Xenopus tropicalis: one gene and its partner. The protein of the gene in region 1 purifies or fractionates together with the protein of each later gene. This does not show direct contact. Links are inferred from orthologs where the notes say so. Each region holds a gene or a part of one and is shown on either strand. Other genes may lie near its edges.

Evidence for each region. Proteins that work in one complex are often made in the same cells at the same time.
Region 2: the proteins of rab3gap1 (region 1) and vapb purify together in Homo sapiens (affinity purification with mass spectrometry; 4 studies listed by BioGRID and IntAct, counting the BioPlex papers as one, with this or other methods). This does not show direct contact. The link is inferred for Xenopus tropicalis from reciprocal best matches to the Homo sapiens genes RAB3GAP1 and VAPB.

What each region holds. Positions count from the first base shown.
Region 1 is NC_030685.2:84,345,209-84,349,432, reverse strand, and holds part of rab3gap1 (rab3 GTPase-activating protein catalytic subunit), read left to right. Parts: coding exon 1-55; intron 56-545; coding exon 546-773; intron 774-2,286; coding exon 2,287-2,383; intron 2,384-2,462; coding exon 2,463-2,566; intron 2,567-2,642; coding exon 2,643-2,758; intron 2,759-3,688; coding exon 3,689-3,791; intron 3,792-4,224. UniProt on the Homo sapiens protein: Catalytic subunit of the Rab3 GTPase-activating (Rab3GAP) complex composed of RAB3GAP1 and RAB3GAP2, which has GTPase-activating protein (GAP) activity towards various Rab3 subfamily members (RAB3A, RAB3B, RAB3C and RAB3D), RAB5A and RAB43, and guanine nucleotide exchange factor (GEF) activity towards RAB18.
Region 2 is NC_030686.2:2,710,414-2,714,517, reverse strand, and holds the start of vapb (vesicle-associated membrane protein-associated protein B/C), read right to left. Parts: upstream 2,801-4,104; 5' UTR 2,702-2,800; coding exon 2,644-2,701; intron 1-2,643. UniProt on the Homo sapiens protein: Endoplasmic reticulum (ER)-anchored protein that mediates the formation of contact sites between the ER and endosomes via interaction with FFAT motif-containing proteins such as STARD3 or WDR44.

The DNA.
Region 1 (4,224 bases):
CCTAAGGGCCCGGATGCAAAGCGCCTGCCTTCTGTCTGACATGGAATCCTTTAAGGTAAATGAGTGACGTCACAATGGTTGGTGCCCAGGGCGGCCATAGGGCAACGGGGACTTGTACCTCAGCATTGCCATGTCTGGTCTGATTGGTTGTAAAGTAACCGTCTCTGCACAGTTACCCCCTGCTGGGGCAGGAAAGGCTCCCACGGCAACAGCATGACGTCACAAGCCCAAGGAAGACTCACAGTGCAGGGCAGATTTCAGGACTGTGGATTTCAGACTGGCTGCTATACTCACTGCCCCTAGCAACCAGTCATTTGTTTAATGTTGCCATTATGGATGAAAAGTAGTGAGAGAATAGAAACAATAATAAGTAAATTAATATCTACCCTCGCCATCAGGTTGCTGGGGCGACGGTGCCTGTCGCTGGGGCGACTCCCAGTTTTTACAAATTTGAGCCAGGTCACTGCAGACTCAGCCAATCCCTGGCCAGAGCAATGACAAATCTGACCAATAGCAACTGTGATGTATTTTTGTTTTGCTTTCAGGCCGCCAATCCGGGCTGCTGCTTGGAGGACTTTGTCAGGTGGTATTCCCCCCGCGATTATATTGAAGAGGAGGTAATGGATGAAAAGGGCAACAAGATCGTCAAAGGAGAACTAAGCCCCCGAATGAAAATCCCCAATAACATGTGGGTGGAAGCCTGGGAAACGGCCAAGCCAATCCCTGCGCGCAGGCAGCGACGCCTGTTTGATGATACCAAAGAGGCTGAAAAGGTAATGGGTTGGGCGAGGTTTGTATTGTCAACTATATGGTCATACTTTACTGGGAACCCTATGGCAGCTCCCTCCCATATGTATAAATACAAATATACAGAGAGGGAATGTTCTGGGCACACAATAAGCTGTACCCCCATACTGTACTGTCTAAGGGAAACACTATGGCACCCCCTACCCATATGTATAAATACAAATATACAGAGAAGGAATGTTCTGGGCACACAATAAGCTGTACCCCCATACTGTACTGTCTAAGGGAAACACTATGGCACCCCCTACCCATATGTATAAATACAAATATACAGAGAAGGAATGTTCTGGGCACACAATAAGCTGTACCCCCATACTGTACTGTCTAAGGGAAACAATATGGCACCCCCTACCCATATGTATAAATACAAATATACAGAGAAGGAATGTTCTGGGCACACAATAAGCTGTACCCCCATACTGTATTGTCTAAGGGAAACACTATGGCACCCCCTACCCATATGTATAAATACAAATATACAGAGAAGGAATGTTCTGGGCACACAATAAGCTGTACCCCCATACTGTACTGTCTAAGGGAAACACTATGGCACCTCCTACCCATATGTATAAATACAAATATACAGAGAAGGAATGTTCTGGGCACACAATAAGCTGTACCCCCATACTGTACTGTCTAAGGGAAACACTATGGCACCTCCTACCCATATGTATAAATACAAATATACAGAGAAGGAATGTTCTGGGCACACAATAAGCTGTACCCCCATACTGTACTGTCTAAGGGAAACACTATGGCACCTCCTACCCATATGTATAAATACAAATATACAGAGAAGGAATGCTCTGGGCACACAATAAGCTGTACCCCCATACTGTACTGTCTAAGGGAAACACTATGGCACCCCCTACCCATATGTATAAATACAAATATACAGAGAAGGAATGTTCTGGGCACACAATAAGCTGTACCCCCATACTGTACTGTCTAAGGGAAACACTATGGCACCTCCTACCCATATGTATAAATACAAATATACAGAGAAGGAATGTTCTGGGCACACAATAAGCTGTACCCCCATACTGTACTGTCTAAGGGAAACACTATGGCACCTCCTACCCATATGTATAAATACAAATATACAGAGAAGGAATGTTCTGGGCACACAATAAGCTGTACCCCCATACTGTACTGTCTAAGGGAAACACTATGGCACCTCCTACCCATATGTATAAATACAAATATACAGAGAAGGAATGCTCTGGGCACACAATAAGCTGTACCCCCATACTGTACTGTCTAAGGGAAACACTATGGCACCCCCTACCCATATGTATAAATACAAATATACAGAGAAGGAATGTTCTGGGCACACAATAAGCTGTACCCCCATACTGTACTGTCTAAGGGAAACACTATGGCACCTCCTACCCATATGTATAAATACAAATATACAGAGAAGGAATGCTCTGGGCACATCATTGCATTATGTAATACACAGCTCTGTTTCCTGTGTAGGTTCTGCACTACCTGGCGGTTCAGAAGCCGGCTGACCTGACCCGACACCTCTTGCCCTGTGTTATTCACGCGGCTCTGCTGAAGTTAAAGGAGGAAGGTAAGTGCGTGGCTGTTGCACCCTGGCGGTGTCTCTGCCCATAATGGGCCGGGGCTGACGGTTGCTGTGCTACTTTCAGAGGCAGCGGAAGACGTTCCATCGGGCAGGAAAGCCATAAAGCAAATCATCTCCCATTCCAGCAAAGTCCTTCGTTTCCCCAGTCCTGACGACAAGAAACTGGAAGTAAGTGATTGGCCTCTTGACGCTCCGCCTTCTTACCCCTCCCCCCCCCTCTCTATTAAACCCGCTCTCTCCTCAGGACGTCATTGGCCAAATGTTGAACGTGGAAGCGACGATCGCCAGAGCGAGATCCCTAAAGGCCAAGTTTGCCGTCGACCGATGTGAAAAATCCGATGAGAAAGAGGATCTGGAAAAGTACGACTTTCTACTCGATCTTATTTAAAGGGGAAGTTCAACATATTATTTTACTGTGCCTAAGGGGGAAGACACACGGAGCTACTAGTAGCAGCTACTTGTCTCGGCTACTAAAACAGACAGTGCTGATCATTTACTGATAATTGTCTCTACGTGTGTTTAGCAGAGGCAATTCTCAGTATTGTCTATGGCAGGGGATTTTCTGGCAGCTGTGACAAGTAGCTGCTACTAAGTAGCTCTGTGTGTCTTCACCCTTAAAGCATAAAAGTGGCCTGAGGCAGTTTGCAGATGTTTTAATTTTTAAAGCAGACTGCCAGTACCTTGGCCATTGGTCTTTGTGTGAGACTTTCCATCTCACTTCAGGTCCCTGCTTTATTTGGCCTGGTTGCTAGAGTGAATGCTCCTAGCAACCACATAGTTTAAAAACCAGAAAGCTGCAGAACAGAAAATGATCATTCAGATGCCATGGATTTGGGGTCTGATACAGTCTTTCCCTAATTCTGCCTGCAGCAACACTCTCCATGCTGTGGGCCTATTCTTCCTTTGATGGTTTTAGACCTGCAGCTGCGCCCCCTTGTGTTAAAACCCATTGTGTGCAGCTGCTCCCCCTTATGTTACACCCCATTCAGTGCAGCTGCGCCCCCTTGTGTTACACCCCGTTCAGTGCAGCTGCGCCCCCTTGTATTACACCCCATTCAGTGCAGCTGCGCCCCCTTGTGTTACACCCCATTCAGTGCAGCTGCGCCCCCTTGTATTACACCCCATTCTGTGCAGCTGCGCCCCCTTGTATTACACCCCATTCAGTGCAGCTGCGCCCCCTTGTGTTACACCCCATTCAGTGCAGCTGCGCCCCCTTGTGTTACACCCCATTCAGTGCAGCTGTGAGTGGGGCCTGTTGGTGCCACATGAATATCTTTCCCTCCCTGGCAGGTTTGTGAGTTCCCTGCTGGAGCAGCCGGAGGTGCCGATCGTTGGTGCCGGGAGGGGGCCCGCTGGTACCATTATCCATAAGATGTTTGTAAGCGCTCAGAGGGTAAGTGGCCGTTCCTGCGGCTCGGGGGGGCACTTACAGTGGGGCAGTAACGGTACTTACAGATGTTCTGTTGGGCTCAGTTCTGCTGCACAGTCAGTACCGGCCGCCGCAGTTTGCGGGTTTGTTTTTAATTCCAGTACTGGTTCTGTTTAACTCTTTCACTGCTGGGCTTATTGGCCTTTCATTGGTTAATTTCATATTCTAATCAAGGCAAAATATATCATTTTCATACATTTTCCTGTCAGTGTTTCCTATTTCTCTCTGTGCCGCACCCTGTGCCCTGATCTACTAAACTGTCTTTTTGTCTGACCCTCCGTGCTGTCCTGGACTTGCCTGTCTCTGTCTCTCCCTGTCCCCTATGTCTCTCCCCCGTCCCCTATGTCTCTCCCCCGTCCCCTATGTCTCTCCCCCGTCCCCTCTGTCTCTCCCCCGT
Region 2 (4,104 bases), on another chromosome or scaffold:
CCTACAATTGTCCGGCCTCCCTTGGTGGTTTCCTCACCGTTACAAAGTACCGAATACCCCCCCCACCCCACCCCGAGCCCCCAGTGTCACTAACGCACAGAGTGGGCGCAGGGTCCCCTACCCACACACACTGTGCCAACACTGCCCAATCAGCAGTCAGAAGGAATGCAGCCAATGGGAGGGGGGCACAGACAGGACTTTATGTATCACTGCCCCCAGTATATGCGCCCCATTACACCCTATATATACCCCCTGTATATTGGATACAGCATCGGGGCTGTGCACCCTGCACCCTACTGGCACTACGGGGGCATAAATGGATCAGGACTGGGGAGCACAGCAGGGCCCCAGGGAACCCCCATATAATTAGGGGGCACTACTCCTCTTTGTTATCAGGGAGCTCTCTGCCCTTTACCCACATACCAAACTGACAGTTATAATAGGGACCCCCTACCTTCAGCCCTGTATCCCAGCAACCCCTTGCACTCATGGTTACAAGACCTCCCTCAGGCAGGTTCTGAAATGGGATGTACCCCAGCGCCCCCCACTGGCCCTGCACCCCAGCGTCCCCCACTGGCCCTGCCCCCCAGCGCCCCCCACTGGCCCTGCCCCCCAGCGTCCCCCACTGGCCCTGCACCCCAGCGTCCCCCACTGGCCCTGTAATCCAGCGTCCCCCACTGGCCCTGCACCCCAGCGCCCCCCACTGGCCCTGCACCCCAGCGCCCCCCACTGGCCCTGCACCCCCCACTGGCCCTGCCCCCCAGCGGCCCCCACTGGCCCTGCCCCCCAGCGGCCCCCACTGGCCCTGCCCCCCAGCGGCCCCCACTGGCCCTGCCCCCCAGCGGCCCCCACTGGCCCTGCCCCCCAGCGGCCCCCACTGGCCCTGCCCCCCAGCGGCCCCCACTGGCCCTGCCCTCCAGCGGCCCCCACTGGCCCTGCCCCCCAGCGGCCCCCACTGGCCCTGCACCCCAGCGGCCCCCACTGGCCCTGCACCCCAGCGGCCCCCACTGGCCCTGCACCCCAGCATCCCCCATTCCAGGATTACAACTCATGCAGCCCAGCAGTACCCCCAAGCCGTACATTCCAGGATTATATCCCATGTAGCCCAGTAGTACCCCCAACCCATACATTCCAGGATTATAACCCATGTAGCCTAGCAGTACCCCCAACCCATACATTCCAGGATTATAACCCATGTAGCCCAGCAGTACCCCCAACCCATACATTCCAGGATTATAACCCATGTAGCCCAGTAGTACCCCCAACCCCTACATTCCAGGATTATAACCCATGTAGCCCAGTAGTACCCCCAACCCATACATTCCAGGATTATAACCCATGTAGCCTAGCAGTACCCCCAACCCATACATTCCAGGATTATAACCCATGTAGCCCAGTAGTACCCCCAACCCCTACATTCCAGGATTATAACCCATGTAGCCCAGTAGTACCCCCAACCCATACATTCCAGGATTATAACCCATGTAGCCTAGCAGTACCCCCAACCCATACATTCCAGGATTATAACCCATGCAGCCCAGCAGTACCCCCAACCCCTACATTCCAGGATTATAACCCATGTAGCCCAGTAGTACCCCCAACCCATACATTCCAGGATTATAACCCATGTAGCCTAGCAGTACCCCCAACCCATACATTCCAGGATTATAACCCATGTAGCCCAGTAGTACCCCCAACCCCTACATTCCAGGATTATAACCCATGTAGCCCAGTAGTACCCCCAACCCATACATTCCAGGATTATAACCCATGTAGCCCAGCAGTACCCCCAACCCATACATTACAGGATTATAACCCATGTAGCCCAGCAGTACCCCCAACCCCTACATTACAGGATTGTAGCCCAGCAGTACCCCCAACCCATACATTACAGGATTATAACCCATGTAGCCCAGCAGTACCCCCAACCCCTACATTACAGGATTGTAGCCCAGCAGTACCCCCAACCCATACATTACAGGATTATAACCCATGTAGCCCAGCAGTACCCCCAACCCATACATTACAGGATTATAACCCATGTAGCCCAGTAGTACCCCCAACCCCTACATTACAGGATTGTATCCCAGCAGTACCCCCAACCCCTACATTACAGGATTGTAGCCCAGCAGTACCCCCAACCCATACATTACAGGATTATAACCCATGTAGCCCAGCAGTACCCCCAACCCCTACATTAGAGGATTGTATCCCAGCAGTACCCCCAAGCCGTACATTAGAGGATTGTATCCCAGCAGTACCCCCAAGCCGTACATTAGAGGATTGTAGCCCAGCAGTACCCCCAACCCCTACATTACAGGATTGTAGCCCAGCAGTACCCCCAACCCATACATTACAGGATTATAACCCATGTAGCCCAGTAGTACCCCCAACCCCTACATTACAGGATTGTATCCCAGCAGTACCCCCAACCCCTACATTACAGGATTGTAGCCCAGCAGTACCCCCAACCCATACATTACAGGATTATAACCCATGTAGCCCAGCAGTACCCCCAAGCCGTACATTAGAGGATTGTATCCCAGCAGTACCCCCAAGCCGTACATTAGAGGATTGTATCCCAGCAGTACCCCCAAGCCGTACATTGCAGGATTAATGTGAGTGCCCCAGAGCCCCCGGTACCTCGGAACTTGAGCTCATGCTGGGGCTCCAGCTGAAGGATCTGCTCCACCTTGGCCATGTCTCCCGTGTGGGCTGGGGGTCCGGGCCTGTCCCGGCGGCGGTGGCGGCTGCAGGAGCGGGTGATGCAGCAAAGCGGCGGAGGGCGGAGGCTGCTGTGACGTCACGGCCCCTGCAAGGCCCGGGGGTGAGCGGCGCGCAGGCGCAAGGGCTGGGGGCGGGGCCGCGGCTGCGCACTGGGGCTCAAGGGCCAACATGGCGGCGCCTGGGGGGGAGGGGCAAGTTAGCGCTGGCAGCGTATGTGCGGGACCCCGTATCCGCCCTGTGTAATGTCACATAGATATCCGGGAATATAAACCCGCGGGATCTCCCCTTATTGGTACCGGGTTGTCCCGCCCCTCCTGCCGGTACCGCTCTCTCCCGCCGCCGGTACCGCTCTCTCCCGCCGCCGGTACCGCTCTCTCCCGCCGCCCGTACCGCTCTCTCCCGCCGCCGGTACCGCTCTCTCTCCCACCGGTACCGCTCTCTCTCACCGCCGGTACCGCTCTCTCTCCCACCGGTACCGCTCTCTCCCGCCGCCCGTACCGCTCTCTCCCGCCGCCGGTACCGCTCTCTCCCACCGCCGGTACCGCTCTCTCCCGCCGCCGGTACCGCTCTCTCTCCCACCGGTACCGCTCTCTCTCACCGCCGGTACCGCTCTCTCTCCCACCGGTACCGCTCTCTCCCGCCGCCCGTACCGCTCTCTCCCGCCGCCGGTACCGCTCTCTCCCACCGCCGGTACCGCTCTCTCCCGCCGCCGGTACCGCTCTCTCCCGCCGCCGGTACCGCTCTCTCCCGCCGCCGGTACCGCTCTCTCCCACCGCCGGTACCGCTCTCTCCCACCGCCGGTACCGCTCTCTCTCACCGCCGGTACCGCTCTCTCCCACCGCCGGTACCGCTCTCTCCCACCTCCGGTACCGCTCTCTCTCACCGCCCGTACCGCTCTCTCCCACCGCCGGTACCGCTCTCTCCCGCCGCCGGTACCGCTCTCTCTCACCGCCCGTACCGCTCTCTCCCACCGCCGGTACCGCTCTCTCCCACCGCCGGTACCGCTCTCTCTCACCGCCGGTACCGCTCTCTCCCACCGCCGGTACCGCTCTCTCCCACCGCCGGTACCGCTCTCTCTCACCGCCCGTACCGCTCTCTCTCACCGCCCGTACCGCTCTCTCTCACCGCCCGTACCGCTCTCTCTCACCGCCCGTACCGCTCTCTCTCACCGCCCGTACCGCTCTCTCTCACCGCCCGTACCGCTCTCTCTCACCGCCCGTACCGCTCTCTCTCACCACCCGTACCGCTCTCTCACCGCCGCCCGTACCGCTCTCTCACCGCCGCCCGTACCGCTCTCTCTCACGCTCTCTCCCGCCGCCGGTACCGCTCTCTCTCCCACCGCCCGTACCGCTCTCTCCCGCCGCCGGTACCGCTCTC